Linked DNA regions of Lonchura striata. The protein of the gene in region 2 binds, or shares a complex with, the protein of the main gene of each other region. Links are inferred from orthologs where the notes say so. Each region holds a gene or a part of one and is shown on either strand. Other genes may lie near its edges. The genes, in order: DBN1 and ZMYND8.

Evidence for each region.
Region 1: the proteins of ZMYND8 (region 2) and DBN1 are in contact, whole or in part, in a crystal structure (PDB 5Y1Z), measured with the Homo sapiens proteins. The link is inferred for Lonchura striata from reciprocal best matches to the Homo sapiens genes ZMYND8 and DBN1. Residues at the interface, in NP_001350670.1 of Homo sapiens: Gln167, Pro168, Gly169, Thr170, Gln236, Ile237, Val240, Lys243, Ile244, His247, Trp269, Leu285, Gly287, Phe288, Phe307, Gly309, Gln310, His311, Asp312, Ala314, Thr335, Lys336, Ser337, Ile338; in NP_004386.3 of Homo sapiens: Met1, Ala2, Phe6, Ser7, Arg10, Leu11, Leu14, Tyr17, Glu18, Asp92, Ala93, Cys96, Ala97, Ala99, Ser100, Lys104, Glu107, Phe108, Gln110.

The regions. Positions count from the first base shown.
Region 1 is NC_134617.1:3,198,097-3,206,419, forward strand, and holds the start of DBN1 (drebrin), read right to left. Parts: upstream 3,470-8,323; 5' UTR 3,370-3,469; coding exon 3,284-3,369; intron 1-3,283. Other genes in the region: PDLIM7 (PDZ and LIM domain protein 7), read right to left, coding at 6,981-7,067, 7,347-7,462, 7,934-8,054, 8,210-8,323. UniProt on the Homo sapiens protein: Actin cytoskeleton-organizing protein that plays a role in the formation of cell projections. Required for actin polymerization at immunological synapses (IS) and for the recruitment of the chemokine receptor CXCR4 to IS.
Region 2 is NC_134619.1:8,584,254-8,593,040, reverse strand, and holds the start of ZMYND8 (MYND-type zinc finger-containing chromatin reader ZMYND8), read right to left. Parts: upstream 3,705-8,787; 5' UTR 3,588-3,704; coding exon 3,574-3,587; intron 3,440-3,573; exon of another isoform or gene 3,169-3,439; intron 3,015-3,168; exon of another isoform or gene 2,489-3,014; intron 1-2,488. UniProt on the Homo sapiens protein: Chromatin reader that recognizes dual histone modifications such as histone H3.1 dimethylated at 'Lys-36' and histone H4 acetylated at 'Lys-16' (H3.1K36me2-H4K16ac) and histone H3 methylated at 'Lys-4' and histone H4 acetylated at 'Lys-14' (H3K4me1-H3K14ac).

The DNA.
Region 1 (8,323 bases), on a different chromosome or scaffold from region 2:
GCAGGCACCCAAACCTGCCCGCCACCGTCACGCGCTGCACCCGGAAAGCCAGGGCCGCCCGTGCTGGATCCCCCACATCCCTGCTCCGCCGCGGGTGGGCGGCTCTGCCGATCAGCATTCGGCTGGTGGTGCCCGCACGGCGCTCCTCAGAGCCCCGAAATCCCCGCTGTGCCCAGCAAAGCCGTCCTGGCTCGAGCCTGCAGCTTCAATCCACAGCCTGGGGAACAGGAATCGAGGGTCCCTACGGGCAGAGCCACCCCCAAAACAGAGCCTGGAGCTAAAAAGCAAGGGGAAGGCAGGCAGGTGCCTAAGAGGGAGAGGGCCTCCCTCTGCCTCCAGCACCCGCCGCCCCCCGAGCCCCTGGCAGGGAGCCGCAGATAATTGCACCAACAAGATTGACTTTAATCCGCACATCCCGATCCCGCTAATCGGCCGCCCCAGCCGGCGCCAGCTTCCAGGCCTGGAACAGCTGCAAAGTGCCGTCTGTGACAGGGAAGGGTGGCAAATGCAGCCCCTGGTCCCCCCAGGAATGGGGGAGGAATGGCAGCAGTTTGGGGGAGCCCAGGGCGGCGAGCTGGAAGCTGGCAGGGTGGGATGCAGCTGGCAGCAGACAGGAGAAAAGAAGTAGGGCAGAGCTACAGCATCACTGCCTGGGGAGCCCTGTGGGTGCTGGGGGCACCCACTGCCTGCTTTTCTTCCCCAGAACCCTGCCATGCTGGGTGGTTTCTGGACACAAAGCTGCTGCCTGCACCCGGGGGTGCTCCCAGGGCAGATGGGGCTTGCTGTGGACACAGCTCAGCAGCACAGCCTGACTCCATGCCAGGATGGAGGTTTCCATTCCAGGAGACAGAGAAGCCGTGCTGGGGCCAGTAGCATCCCCAGGGGTGCCCCCAGGGCCCCACAGCCCAACAGCACCACCACAACCCCTGGCAGTGGGGACCAGCTGTGTCACAGCGGGTGCTGTCAGCATCATGCATCACTTACCCCACTTCCATGGCTTTAATCCCTCCACCCAACCCATACAGCCCTTTCCCACCCCCGGGCTCCAGGTATGTGGGTCACCCGTGGGTGGAGATGCCCTGTGCAGCCCGGAGCGGGGGCTCCCCGCAGCCGGGGGCCTCCACTGAGGATCCCTCATCACCCCAGGCAAAGGCACCGCAGCCCCGCTGCCCTCGCATGGCCCCGCTGCTCACCGGAGCAGGCAGAGCAGCATCCCCGGGCGCCGGAACGGGGCTCCCGCGGCAGCCCACCCCCCATGCCACGGCCAGGGAGGGGTCACATCGCCCCAGCCTCCCGCCCCAGCCCCGGCACATGTGTTTCCAATGTGGCTGGGAGCTCCAGGGAGTCGGCGTGCTCAGAAAGCAGCACCAAATTCCTTTCCGATCGAGTAATGGGCCCCAGCAGCCTTCGCGGGGCCGGGCAGGGGGAGGGGATGCTCGGACCCTTCAGGACCGGGCTGGAGCAGGGGAAATCCCAGACTAAACCGAGGGATCCCGGGCGGGCATGAGCGTGGCATTCCGCGGTGGCGGCCCAGGGCCAGGCTCTGGCACAGTGTCCCCCCAGGCAGCTCCCTGGCTCAGCCAGTCTGGGCCCTCCTCCCCGTGGACTGTCCCCATCACCTTGCCCGATGGAGCCCCACCAGCATCGCCCCTCATCCAGCACCCCCGCAGCGGGCCCTGCAGAGGGGATGATGTTCCCACAGGCACTGAGTGCCAGGAGCTCCGGTGACAATGGCATGGGGTGGCTGGGGACATTGGAGCAGCTGGGGACGATGGACCAAAGTCAGCCCCACGGATGGGGATGCCAGGGGATCACTGCCTGGCCGGGATCAGCGTTGGAGGTGTTTGTGGGGGAGCCGCCACCGGCCCCCTCGCCTTCCCGGGAACCGATTCTGCTTCTCTCAGCAGCTTTGGCAGGGACGGCTCCTTTGCAGCGGATGCCGGGAAGCGAGATGTACCCAGGGCTGACAGCTGCCGCCTGGCCGGCGACACACACGGCGCTTGCCCGCAGCGCCCCTGGGCTGACAGCGGGACTGTGGGGCCCTCCGGAGACCCCCGGGGACTGGGGGCACCTGGACCTGCCCAGGCCCACCCAGCCCTGTCCTGAGAGCAAGGACCTGCTTAGAGACAGACGTCTGACCGGCTGGGTTGTGGGTGCAGCCCAGCTGGGAGGTGGGAGTCCCCGGATGGGCGGTGGGTATATCCCGGAGGGGTGGTGGATGCCCCTGGCTGGATGGTGGGTGCACAGTAGCTCTCCTCCGTCCGCCCCCCACCAAAAGCATCATGCACAGCATGCACCCAGCACTCCACACTGCCCAGCGAGATGCGCCCCAGCGCGCCGGCAGCGCTCCCACCCAGCCTGCCAGAGGCACCCTGGAGGGCAGGGAGGGGATGGCGGGGCAGATGGCCCCAGCCAGCCTCCCGGCACCCGGCTGGGCTGGGAGATGCGGGTGGGCTGGCAGTGGGTGATGCTCCCTGCAGCGGGCCCGGATCCAGCCGACCTCGACAACCGGTGCCCCGCACCGGGGCGCGGGCAGCGCGACAAGCCGGGGGTCCCAGCGGAGAGAACCACTCCCCTCCCCGACTCAACAGCAACCCCAGCCCGGCGGGGCAACCCCGGGCCGACACACCGCGACCCCCCAGGGATGCGGCAGCCCCGGAGCTTGGGGGAATCTCAGGGTAGCGGGAGCGGCGGGAGATGCTCGGTGTCCCCGCGGCTTCAGGCCTCTCTCCGCCGGGCAGCGGGGCCGCCCGCTGCCGGGATACCGGTGAAGCCGGTCGGGAGCAGGACCGGTCGGGAGCGGGGCCGGGCTGCGGGCGCCCCGATCCCCTCCCCATCCCCCGTTGCCCCGGCGCCCCTGCCCGCGGCTCCAGCTCCAGACAATGGCGAGGAACCGGTGCCGGGCCCAGCACCGGGGAGCCCCACGGGGCCCTCCCCGTCGTGCGCGAATTCCCCCGCTCCCCGCTCTCGCTGCCCGGCTGGGGGTCGGACCGGGCCGTGCCGGGACTCCCGGGGCCGACGGGTCCCGGCGCCCGCACGTGCCGGCCCGGCGCAGACAAAGCGGGGACCGCGCCCCGGCCCGGTGCGGCGGGCAGGTGCGGGCACCGGGGGCGGCGAGCCGGGCACACCCCCCGCCGCCCCGCCCGCCTTTGTGTGCCGGGGCTCGCGGGGACGGCGGGGGGCGCAGCTCGGGGCGCGGCCGGTGTTACCGGGCGGCTCCGTGCACAAAGGGCGGCGGCGGCGGCGGGGACAAAGGGGCGGCGGCGGCGGCGGGCGCGCTCACCAGTCGGTGGGGCTGTCCTCGCCGATCACGTCCTGGTAGGAGGCGAGCAGCTCCAGGCGGTGCGCCGCGAAGCCGACGCCAGCCATGGCGGGGCCGGGATGCTGCCGGGGGACCGGAGGGACCGGCCGCCTGCCCGCCTCCGAGACACTGCCGCAGCGGCCGGGCGGAGGGGCGAGCGGCGGGGAGGCTCCGCCCGCCGCCGCGCCCGGTCCTAGCGCCGCGAACGGCGGCCCCCCTCCCCTCCCCTCCGCCCCCCCGCCCGGCCCCCGCCCCCGCCGCGCCCCCGGGGCGCCCCCGGGGCAGCCCGCCGGCCGCGCCGCCCGGCCCCGAGCCGGGACCCCGGGGGTGCGGGCAGCATCACCCCCGCCGCGGGCCGCCCCCGCACGCAGCTCGCCCCCGGGATCCCGCAGCCTGGGCTCTGCTCTGCCCCCGCAACACCGCGCTCCGGGCCGTCCCCAGCCCCAGGGACACTGAACCCCGGCTCAGCTCCTCCTGGGAACCTGCACGCCGGGTGATTTCGCATTCCGGGCTCTCCTCCGCCCTGGGGACGCATCCTGCGCTGCCCCTCCTGGGAACTTGCACTCTGGAGACCTCTCGTGCTGGGTGGTCCTCTCCATTCCCATATTCTCCCCTGCCCCACATCCTCTACACCCAGGGATGTGGCACACATGGCTTCCCGTGCCCTCCGCTGCCCCACGCCGAGCCCCCGTGTCCAAGGTTTCCTCTCCAAGGACACGGCACCGTCGGCTTTGCCCTAAACACCCAGCCATGCCCTCACTGCTCGCACAAGGGGTCACTGGACACAGCCTTTCTGGGGGCGTCTTTGCTGCCCATCTGCTCCTCTACCCCCACCACTGCCAAGCCACCGGTCCTTTCAGAACCCTTCAATCACCTTTTTCAGGAGGTTTTGCCTCTGTGCGACCCCACAGCTGGTTTTGCACTGACCCTCGAAGGGCTCTGAAGGGGCTCTCAGCCAGGTCCTAATGCTCCTGCCAGCGATTCCCTGTCCCCGGCGCTGCCCCCAGCCTGGACCAGCACCGCGCTGGAGGGGTCTCTGTGCCAGAGCAGCAATGGAGAGCACGCAGGGCCCGATTCCTGCGGGATGGGGATGTTGGTGGAGTGGCCCGTCACAAAAGAATCCCTTCAGGCAGCCCGTGGGACACGGGGACATGGGAGATGAGGGACATGGGACAGGGTGCCGAGGGTCCTGGCGCTGCCGCCCGCTCCCCCCACGCCCTCCTCACACCAGCATTTCCGAGCGAGGCCAGAGCCGGAGCCGCCCTAAGAGGCTGTGAGAGTTTGGGAGCAGCTGTGGAGCAGCTGCCGGGGCCAGCGCGGGGGCTGGGGCCGGGGCAGGCGCCCCACAAGCGGCTCAGATGGCTTTGGGGGTGGATGTGGTGAGACCCCGCTCAGGGATGTGGTGGGAGCTCCGAGCCTACCGCCGCCAGGCTTTGTTCTCCGAGCAGCGAGGCTGCAGCCCCTCCCCAGGCTCCACCTCCGCAGCCCACCCGAGACCCTCCTTCCGCTGCCTGTGCACAAGGTCCTCACATGGTGCGCAGAGCTGGTGGGCAAGAGATGCCCTTGGCAAAGCGCAGAGGCACCTTGGGTGGTAGAGGAGTCATCAGGAGGGCCCAGAGGCAACAGGGAACCAAGCAGAGCTAAGCCCCCCGCGAGCACAGACCTTGCAGTGGCACCAGGGGATGCTTGGCTCTCCCCAGGGAAGAGGCAGGTTGACTGTAGCACCCTGGCCCTGCTGCACAGCTGGGCACCCCGGGGCTGATCTGGCAGAACCTGTTCCCAGCCTGTGCTAGCCCAGCAGGCTCCGTCCCGCACCACTGCCTGCCCCTGCCCCTTTCCTACCCTCCACTCACGGGTTGCTGTCCAGCCAACCCAGGGTTGGTTCAGGGCCTGCCCATGTGGGGCCACAGCCACCTCACCTTCCCCTGTGCTTCCTCTGACCTTGGCTGCACAGCTGGGACTCACACGTGGGCACTCAGCCCTGCTCCTGCCAGCCCTGCCAGGCAGGCACCAGCTGCTTCTGTGCCATGTCCTGCTGCTTCTCAGTGTGACCATCCCACTGCTCTCACGTGCCCCAGCCCGACTGCCTGGCCCAGCCCCAGCTTGACTTCATCCCTCACCTTTCCTTGCCCCATCTTTGATGTGCTTTTGCACTCCTGGAACTGGCAGTGAGAAGATGTGGCACCGCAGCCCAGATCTGGGTGATGCCAGGAGGTATTTGGCTTCCCACAGCCAGCTCCTGCCCCAGGCAGAACCTTCCAGTAGATGAGCAAGACGATTTTCCTTACAATTGCTCATCATGGCAAGAGCTGCAATTATTAATGACCGTTCCAGCTGTCAGAGTGGAGAGGGAGGAGAACACCCACACGCGCTGCCCTCGAGCCCGTTCCAGCCGGAGGTGCTGGTGTGGCCTCAGCCGTCCTTCGGGACGGCAGCTGCAGCGTGTGAGCGAACGCTTGGCCGCTCCACGCTGGAGAACGCCCAGAGCTGGTGCACGTGGCCCACGCGTGCCCCACGACTCCTCAACCCCTCTACAGTACTCAGGACGCTGCCAGGTATACAAGGACCTCCACTAAGGTCTCACCCCTTCCCCATCTCTCCTTGCTGCATTTTGCCCCCCAGATTAATTACTGCCCCCATTAGCGGTCCTGCCTGCTACAAGAGGGACGACCCAGCCGACACAAAAGGTCAAGCCTGGGCAGAGGTGGAGAAATCTGAGGCGAAGAGTTTCCCTGGAAAGCTGGAAGGAGCTGAGTCAGGCCCCAGAGGGAGCGGGATGAGGGCAGAGCATGACCTTCCCAGCCGGCCACACCTCACTCGGCAAAACCACTGGCCTGGAGACAGCCGGCACTTGCAGAGATGTGTTTATTAAAGGCACTAAAAGCACCGTGGCTACATCAGCGCAGCCCGACCAGAGGGTGTGGTTTGGGGGGAGGCATCGGTGGCCCCAGGATGGCAGTGGCAGAGATCTCTTTGGTAGGAAGCTGTGCCCAAGCCTTGCGGGAGCAGCAGCCTGACTGGGCTGGCCATCATTACACGCTGCCAGCCCACGGCTGGGCCATGCCAGGCTGGGGGTGTTGCCAGCCCCAGGGGAGCAGGGGGGCAGCAGGGTGGGAGGCATGAGGCACAGACACCCCTGGAATGCAACTGGGGCAGGAAGCCACTGCAGTTTGAGGGTGGCTGGTGGGTTGTCATGGGCAGGGCCCCAGCAGGGGAGCAGGGCCGGGTCTCCAGCCCCAAGCACACAGCAGGGAAGGTTGGGGAGAGTGAGACAAGAGCTGGTCCTCACCCACTCAGGGATGTGTAAGGAGTATCCCTGCCCCAGCACTGAGCTGCCAGGCAGCAAGGGAGCAGGCCAGCCGTGGCAGACCCCCTCCAATTCCAGCCTCAGCATGGTTGTACCCACCATGCTGCGTGGCTCAGGGGCAGGAGATCCATGCAGCATCCCCTTTCCAGGGCTCCTAGGGCCAGTTGAGAAGCATGTAAGAAGCCACCCAGCTATAAAAGGCTCTGGACCCAGCACTGTATCTGGCTGAAGTCGAGCCAGGAGCTGCCAGGAAAGAGGCAGAAGCAAGGGAAAGGGCCAAGGGCCCAGTCTGGCTCCCTGGGGCCAGCAGGGCAGGGGAAGAGGAGCATGCAGGGCCAGGGGCATGTGTAGGCACAGCTGAATTCCCACCCCTCACACATGGGAGAAAGCATGGCTCTTGCACAGAGGCTTGTCCTTCTTGGAGTAGAACGTCTTCCCTTCCAGGTTGGTCTGGCAGATCTGGGGAGGAAAGTACAGGTGGTCAGGTCGGGGGGCTGAGTCAGCCTCTGGTCCCCCACAGCCCAGCACTGGTGTTACACAGGGACCTCCACATGGCCCTGGGGCACTGCGAGGGAACAGAAGGCTCAGAGCAGAGCCCCAGGCGTCCGGAACGGAGGCAAGTGGGACAAATCTTGTGGCAGCAGGTTCCCTGTGCTGCTGGTGTACCCCACCCAGAGCAGGACTGTCGGGGAGAGGCACAGGCCCTGCAACAGTCGGGGAGGGAGGCACACTGCTCACCGCACAGACAAAGCAAGTGTCATGCCAGCTGAACCCCAGCGCCTCCAGGAACCGGTCCCCAGCATCGATCTTGAAGTCACAGCCGCGGCACTTGGTGCCAAACATCTTCTCATAGTCTGTGAGGAAAGGCAGAGCCAGGTCAGCATTTCCATGCACTACAGCCGCTCATGCCAGGGGAGCAGGGCTGCAGCTCAGCCAGGATCCCACAGGCACAGCCTGGGGACAACTCTGCCAGCCCCCATTCAGGTGAGAAAAAGCCTGGGACACCCGGGAAAGGTGTAGGGTGGCATAGCCAACACAGAGCTCCAGGGGGAGGAGGAGAACCTCATCTCCCAGGATGCAGCACTCGCTTTGATGTACATCCTCCCTCATCGCCATGGCAACATAGGAGCTATGGCACTACCCTGCAGCTAGGGAGAACCAGGTGGAGGGCTCAGGGCTGTGGGATTGGGGTCTCTGTGCTCCCCGCAGCCCAGGGGGAGCCCTGCAGAGCAGGGCAGCTCATACCCCCAGCCCTGTGTGCAGCTGCTGAGTCCCAATGCGCCCCAGGGCCACATGAGGTGACACATGGGGCCCCTGGGTCCTACCTCTCTCGCAGTAGGGCTGTCCCTCCTCCATGTAGAAGGCTCGGTTGCGGATGGGAGTTTTGCAGGCGTTGCAGGTGAAGCACTGCACGTGCCAGGTCATCTTCAGTGCGTGCATCACCTCCTGGAGGGGAGCCACTGTCAGCCAGGGGCAGGAGCACCAAGGGCAGGAAGGGTCAAGGAATCCCCTGAGATGGACCAAGGCGGGAAGGGACAGAGCCAGGCACTCACAGCAGAGGACAAGGACAGGAGATGGAGGGCAGGCTGAGGGACACTCACCCCAGTGATCTTCTTCTTGCACTTGGCGCAGCTGGGTGCGTAGCGCGTGTCGTAGCACTTGGGGCAGAAGATGGAGCCTTTCTCCTCAAAGAAGCCGCCCTCATCCAGCACCTT
Region 2 (8,787 bases):
CCAGAAACAAAACAAAACAACAACCTCAAGCAAAAGTGGTATCACAAAATGGAAGACAGCTGAGGAAGACGAGCCAGTTGAAGTTTGTGGACATGATATGAAGGGCTAAATTTGTGATGTAATCTATCTATTTCTGCTTTTTGAGCATGATGTTCCTTTCATTACATGCTCTCTTAGTAGCAACGTAGGTTTTCTGCTACATTTCATACTCCTACCTACTGTGAGGGGGGGTGACTGTTACATTTGGAGTGGTTTATACTCTGCATTTTTTTCATTTCCAATATGTTAAGTAGTGTCATTTGTTTAAAGAAATTGCTCAGCTTTTCCCTAGCACTATTTAGCTTCCAAGTAAAACAGTTTGCCTGCAAAGAATGAAAAAGGCATGTAGCTTTTAAAAGGCTACTGTTTTCACCATGATTTATAATCCAGATCACTCCTTTGTTTTCCCCCCACTCCATTCTTTGTCCAGTTAATTACAAAAGTAACTGGATGTTGGCACTAAATAATAATGCCTAATCATATTCATCCTGGGCAATTCAAACTGCTCTCTAGTAGCCAGAAAACTTACAGTGTAATTATACGATTAACTGCTAGTTATAATCAGAATAATGGCCATTTGCTCCAAGCTGAATAAACCTCAGCTGCATTGCTTCATACATGTCCTGTCTAATTGTGATTGTAACAAGATCCAGGCCAGTAAAATCTTGGGGAGAAAGCAATACGTGCTTTTTCCCTGCATCTGTCACTTAAAACAAAAACCCACATTCCATCTGTCCTGAATAGAAAAAACAGCTTATTACACAACCTAGGGAAGTGAGTGATAACACTGTACCTTGACAAAGCACCAAAAAATATACACATCTGAAATCCTTCAGCTTGTCTGAATTTGCTTTGCTTAGATGGAACAAAGATGGCAGAAATTTCCAGAAGGCCTTTCTCAGCCTTGCCACTGCAATTGTCAATCTTTAACCTGCCTGCTGCAGCAATTGGCTCCGGCGCTGGCGGAGCAGTGCCATTGGGCTGAGCCGAGGCACAGCGCTGCTGTCTCTACCTTGCCTCAGACATCTTGCTGCAATGCAGACATTTGTTTTTTGTGAACTATAAAAGAATTACACCCGAGTGATTGAAAATAGTGAACTTTAACAGACTCACGATGCTCCGTTTCATTACATGCACGAGGGCAGCTCACACAAATGCGCTTCACTGTCAGCAGCGTGTCTGGAGGTGCAGATTTGAAACAGATCCTGGTTTAACAAAACCTGTGGGAGCCATTTTAATACAAGCTTTCTGATTGCAGATCACTTACCCCTGCTTCCTCACATTAAACAAATATTATGTTGCCCATTCTTAAAGGCTGAAAGTAAACAGCTAGCATGTATAAACTACTACTAGGAAAATTGTGTCCAAATGTAATTTCTGTTTTTTAGCAACTGAAGAGCAAAAACCAGAATAACTTCTTAGCTGTGTCAGCACTTTCACGTATACTGAAAGATGCATTAAAATTGCATACAGAAATACTATCACATGAAATTCAGTGGTACCCCAGCAGTATTTCAGGTTTTAAATTGAACTAGACATTCTTATAATCTAATCCTAGGGGACTGGGGGGGGCAGGGGGGGGGAAGGGAGGAGGGGGAAACATGGAGAGGGGGATAGGATAGGAAAGCTTTTAGCCAAAGTGAGATATTCAAAGTAAGATACTCACACTGGTAAACAAGCAAACAGAGGTAAATTGCTGTTAAAGAACGTTACCAAATACATGGCAAGGGGCTAGAAAAGTTTGCATGCCCTGTGCCTCAGCACAGTTATTTATTTGCAAAGCCAGCCTAGCTTTCAGTTCTTTCCGAAAATAATAAATGTGTATGGACTGTTAAAACAAGTGCAAAAATTACATTAAAAACACAAAAGAGCATCCCTTCTCTGCTTTTGTAACAGCCCTAGTGATCACTGAAAAACAGCTTGTTCAAACAAGCATGCAGGCGCTACAATTAAAATCTTTATAAAGAGCACAAAATGTTTCTAAATTAGTTATAAACCAAGCAAGCTTGTCTGAGGTTATACTTTGTATAGTATCAGAAACATATGCTCATTAAGTGTTATTTACTTTACTTCCTAAGGTCACTTCATTGCTGAGCACCAGCACTTTCATCACACCCGAAAAGCCCAAGGAACGGTGAAAACGCGCTTTGCCCTGCAAACATGGCAATTAATGATCTAGGAACGAACAGCAAGTAGAATATTTTTCACTGGCCTAAGGTAAACAGGAAGTAAAAGCTTCAAAATTTAGAGACAAATTATCAGAAAAACAGTGCATTCAAATACAGCAGTTTACATGTACAAGTCCCTTAAAATGGACGCTAAACAAATCTGATCTTTTATATGACTAACCACCAACATCACTTCATCTACTTCACTGACTGACCCAGTAAAAACAAAATGTTTGGAAAACTATTAAAAATGTTCAGAGAGTAGCATGCTGCTTACTTACCAACTGTTCAAGCACCCATCTCATTTTTCCAGTTAAGGAGATACAACAGGCTGGCAGATTTTGGAATTGATCAAAAAGGAATTTCTTGAAATAATTACGTAGCAATTAACCAAAAGTAAAAAAAATTAAAAGGGAAAAAAAAACCCAAGAACGAACAACATGTACTACTGTCATGAACCACACATGATTTTATATCTTCTGGACTCCACAACACAGAACTGTGGCTGGTACAATGTAAAACAAAAAGGCACAGATAAAAGTTGCATTAGTTTATTTGAACTATGCAAAGCAAGGAAGCTAACAGTTCAAAAACATTTTCCATAAAGCATCAGATTTGTAAACAGATGCACTGCTGCGTTTTACTGAGCAGCACTCCATTTCCAAAATCTGCAGCATAAAAACTCCCTTTTAAAGGAACAAAATATTAACCATACATTGTCCCTCAGAAAGAGAAAAGCATTGTATTAATTACTCCTGCAAGAAAAAAGGTTCAATAATCATTTTAAGTTAAGATAAGCTGCATAAAAAACATGATGCAACAGCACACCACCACCTAGGCCCAATATCTACAATCTGCCATTAGCACTTTTTGCTGATGCCTAGGTTTTTAAAAATCCCATATTTTCTCAGAGATAACTTATCTTAGCTGTTCCATTCACTGTTTAGAAAGGTAAACTTGCCTGTTCCTCTGTCTGCCATTATCCCTGCTTGACTCCCTGTAGGGCAGTTAAATGCATCTGCTCCCTAGCTTCCATTTTCTCTCCAGCAGGCATGTGACACAACAGACAATAGTGCTGGCAAACTGCTCAGAGACAGAAACCTCCTTTGGAATACCAGGATCTTGATAAACTCTAAAAACACCATCCTCCTGTGAAGAAGTAGGCATGCCAAGGCTTTGCCAGACTGTAAAATAAAGCTGTGGCTAATGGCTACTAACCATGTGACCCAAGAAAGCAAATTTAAACAGTTCCAACTTAATATAAGTGCTGTGGTGTGAGTTTTGCACGAGAAATCACAGAGAATCACACTCTCAACCCACAACTCATAGGTCTTAGAGAAAAAGCAATGTAAAAAGCAAGGCTTACCTCTGTGGATGCATTGTTAACACAGTGTTATGTCAATACTTATAAAACATGGAGGACAGGCTCTCAGTACTCGGGCAGGGAGGGCTTGGCACTTGGGCTTGATGATCTGTCTTCCCCATGAAAGCCGCCCCCGGATTGGCTGCCCCGGCAAATCCGCATGTAAAGCGCCAGGGGATTGGCTGAGACACTTCCTGAGCGATTATCTTTGTGCGGCTCCGGGAGCAGGAGCCATCCCGGGCTCGGAGCAGGCCGGCGCGCTAGGCCCGGCTGCCGCCGCCCGCCCGGCCCGGCCCGGGCCCGCCCGCGGCTCCCCGCGCACCGCCTGCCCGGCCCGTGTGCCCCAGCCTGCCGCCTCATGAAGGCAGCTGGCTGTTCTGAACCCGAAGGACGCAGAGTTCGCCCAGGTCGCCAGAGCTGTTCTTTTGTTCGCACGGAAAGCGCAATTGGCGTTGCTGGGGCTGCGCTGGCCGAGCAAGCGAGGCCACAGGCGGAGAGCAGAACTTACTGAAAGTGCACGTGCACAGAAGGGACTGAAATGAACAACTCAGGACTCCGAGAAGGGTTCTCCTGCTCCAGAATTTAAATACATGAACATGCAGCACAGCAACCATGTACCTACAGTGTGATTTCGTGGTATGCTGAGTCTTAAGAGGGAAAAAGGAGCCTTAAGCAGGAACACTCATGTCTCCTTTTCCCAAAAAGCACTCCAGAATTGAAATTGCTTTATCACGGAGCCTTGCTACCACTTGGTGCAGGCCCTCCCCGTGTTTAAAATGCTGCAGGGCAAAACTAAAAATATCCATGTCATCCTAGACCCTGAGATCTGGAATCCCCCCCAGCCCCTACCTTTCGGCCTGCCTGGGCTGTTAGACAAAAACTGACTTCCTTAGGAGCGGCTGTAACTGCAGCTTCCTGTCCGTTAACCCTCTAGGACTTGGTGCTTTTTGAGATGCAACACAGGCCCTGAAAACACAGATTTCTCTACGAGGCAAGTTATCAGTCTGCCCCCACGAAAACATCCACATCATTTTTCAGATATTTTTGCTTTACCTTTTTATCTCCTGCGAAAATGCTGCAAATGAAACAAAATGAGAAAGCGGCGTGTAAGCAACCGGTTTGATCTTGGGCCAATTCCCAAGCTTTTGATTAAAAAATGTGATTCCATTCTTTTCCCTAATGCAGTGAAAGTGGGAGAAATTATCGTTTTGCCAAGAAGGAAGTCTTAACTCCAGATGAAGATCTTAAAGGTTAAATTTTTAGAAAGCCTCCACCATGCCTTTGCATTATTGTTCAAAATTTTGTATCTGTGTTATATTATCATTCTGTAGCCATGAAGATTGCAATGGAAATTGCAGATGAAAGGGTGAATCTGAAGCACATTGAATATAAAATAATTATTTATTAAACAAAAGCAAGAAAAAAAAAACAAGGGACGGTGTAGAGGGAGACGCTTAACATTGAAACAATAATTATTATATAATGAGATAGAACAATCAAAGAAAAATAAACGTTCTTCCAGTACAACATGCAGGATCTCAGACTGTGCAAAACCATCTATAAAAAGCCCTCTTCCATAAACCTACAAGAGTTGCAAACAGAATATGCATGTCACGTTTAGTCGAGTGCTAATAATCCCAGAAACAATCACCACAACAAAACCTAGTGCCCTCCCTTACCTCCATACAGCACCTCTCACGATATAACTACTTTACCACACAAACCTCACTGCCTGAGAGCTGACGTGACTCATAACTGTGCCACTCAGTAAAATTAGTCATCCTGCTCTGCATTGTCCCATTCTGCATTCAGATTATTCCTTGAGGTAGCCTTGTCACAGGGAACTGCCACAGCAGCCCATCCTGTGCTTACACTTCTGTCTCTGCATTTCACCCTGCAACAGCAGATTAACAGCCCAGAGTATAAATTATCAAATCAGAAGGAATGCTGGAGTCCCTGCTGGAAGCATTTTCTCTTTTTAGATGTTGCAATGTTTTTCAGGGCAGGGAGCAGGAAGGCTCACGGATACACTGACCGTTTGTTCTGTTTTAGGAATGAAGCAGAAGCTGGGGAGAGTGCTGCTATAAAGCGAATCACAGCCCACTACAGCAGCAGAAACACACTGGAAATTCATGACATTCAGTGAATACTTGCATCAGTTTCAATAGTGAAAATCATTCAAGATAGATTTCTTTTTAATTGAACACCTAAAGACCTGTGTTGCTCAGAGATATCACCCCTGGCACACAAACATCCAAATTTTGATTCCTCTAAGCAGTAAATGTGAGGATTGTCAGCCGTTAACATTTATGCTCATTGTGTGACTGTTCTACTCTAATATTATTCTCTTAAAAAAAAAAAAATCCTAATCCCTATGAAGAACAGCATGGGAACAAAAGTAAATACACAGAATTTGTCAATGCTTTGTGCTAACCCAGACCCGACTCGGGGAATGTTGTAATGCTGATGGTGCCTGGGAACGCTGCCAAGCTGACACACTTGGGCCTATCAGACAGAATGAGCACACAGTGGAGAGAGAGGCAACAGCAGCCTTAGGAAAGGCCTAAGGCCCCTCTCCTCTTGATTCAAGGAAGCAAAAATGCAAAAGAAAAATTTATAAACCTGCAGTTATTAGCAGGAACAAAACCATAGAAAGCACATCAGACAGATATAGTATGTATATTCAGCCACTCAGCTACTCTGCTCAAAAAGACAAAAGAATTCTGTCAGGAATCAAAGGGGAAGCTTGAAATATATTTCTCTTTATTCTCTTGTCCACATGCTTATTTTGCAGCAGGAGGTACAAGCCTGGTATAATGCACGGGTACATCTGGAAAATACAGATTTTTGTCTTAAGTCACCATGATTGTGCGTCCTGCTACAGCTTGAGCATTTATTTTACATTGGAGTAGTGATTTTTTTTTCTTGGTGGGAGGGAAGAAATGGTAAAGAAAACAAAACAAATAAAAGAAGAGCATGCAAGGGGAAGCTAAAAGCTTTGTTAAAGCAGAAAAGAGGGCAGAGAGCAGATTAGCTTGTATTTATCCTTTTCAATTCTTCAGAGATATTAAGGGAAAACAGGGCTGTGAGGCAGGGAGGGGAAAAAAAGGCTAAACAGAGAAACCAAAGGGAAGATGGAAAGCAAATTCTCAAAAGGAAATTAAAAGACAGTAATGTTAAAAGTGCAGCCCATTATACAGGTCTTTGCAAAGAACTCTGCCCACTGTGCCCATCTCCACACCAAGCACACACACCAGGCATCAGAGAGTTATAAGGAACTATACTACCTAATATATACCAGAGCCTCCAAATTAAACAAATACCAGTAAGAAAAATGCCTGCCTGTATGACAGAAGCAGGGGTTGATATTTACCCCTCCCTACAGTGGCTGCATCATCATTGACAGAGATGGAACATTAAGTGATGGACAAAAGATGGAGCATTTTAACAGATACACAAAAGGGGAAATGTCATATTTTTCAAGTATAATAAACAAATAGATAAAAACAAGTGAAAGAAAATGCATTAAGGGTTTGTAGCTTGATCTGGGATTTCCAGGTCTTTGGCTGATAATGCTGATTTCTAGAGTCAGAACATAAAACACTGTCACTCATTGTCTTGGGAAAAAACTCTTCGAAGTTTGTCTCCTTTATCATGAATATAGATAAAGTATCAGTAATTGCTCAAAGACCAGTAGACCACTGTCCAGTACAGAATCCAGCAATAAATGTCTATAAAAACAGTTCCTCAATTTTTAAAACTAGACTGACTTCTAAAATTAGTGACCTGTCAAAGAAGGTTGGTAGTTTCATAAATTATTAGAAACTACAGGAGAAGGTATCTATGCACAGCAGGTCCCTGGTTTGCCCATGAGCTTAGTAGGCTTTGCATGCATTGGTCCTTCTGAAGAGCAGCTTTCAGTACTTTGGATTGACACTGTTTGTTCTGGATTGAAATGGTCACTCATTGTCTGCAGGTTAAAACCTGGTTCAGTTTGTAACACACAACTGAATATCTGGTGCATTATCAAAGTGTCTCTTGACAGGCATTTTTAGCGTGCTGTGCAATTGCTTCATGTACATTTCTTTCCAAAGGAAATCTCCACTCATGTTCAATCATCTGCCAAAAATAGCTGGAGAGAAAAAAAAAAAAGAAAAGCATCTTTGAGCCCTTTAACAGCTGTAGCTTTTTAAAATAAGTACTTAAGGCATAAGCCCATTTCATTGCTTTCACCCCCACTTTGGACCAGTCTCTCCACAATTAAACAGCTGGGCTGTTGGATATTCTGTATAAAATTGAATTTTCATTATTATGTATTTAAACTTTATGTTCTGTACTGAAGGCCTAACAGATACAATTGCTTTCATATTTTATATGCAGGCAAATCCTTTTCTAGTTGCCCAGAAAGCAGCTGTGAGACACATGCAGGCATGGTGCACGCCCACGGTGCAGGTGAACAAGTGGATTTATCAGCCCTGCTCTGTGGCCATGGAAATAAATGTAAATACCCTGTATGAGGCCTAAGTACAGAATCTTGAAAGAAGTTTGTACTTCACCAAGTGGTTCTAATGGCCAAGTGTGAGACATCTTGTATATATCACTTACTCTGGCATAGTGCACTTCTAAAGGAAACAAAAGGAAGTCACTGCTATTTGGGAGGAATTATTCAGGACCACATAATGCTGAACTCCAATCCTATTACCAGGATTTCTTTCTTGATTGTTTCACATTCAGGAATCAGATGACATGACTTCTTTCATGTTTTGGTTTGTTATTACTGTTGTTTTCTTTTGGGGTTTTAAAATTAAATCTGATAATGTCCCAGAAACTAAAGCTCATACCAAACATGTCAAGTGACGGAATTACAAAGATAAAGTAATTACATTAACTTTTCCTGCACAACCCACTGCAGATTCAGACTGCATCACTTTCACTTTTAACCTCCTTCATGTTCCTCCACACACTAAATTCACAGTTTGGCTTCAGCTTCAAGGCTCTGCATATTCACACCTTTCTCCTCTCTATGTGCTATTCCAATTGCTATTTCATCTCAGTTTTGTGGTTTACCTCTCACCAGCAAAAAGTCCTTTCTTTTTCCACCACAAGTTTCTTTTCTTTTTCAGTCAGACTTACTGGCTTCTCACCCTTCCTTCCAGCCACAGCACTTAGCTGCACTTTGAGCAGAACTGTCTGTACTGTGACACTGTGAATCAAAGA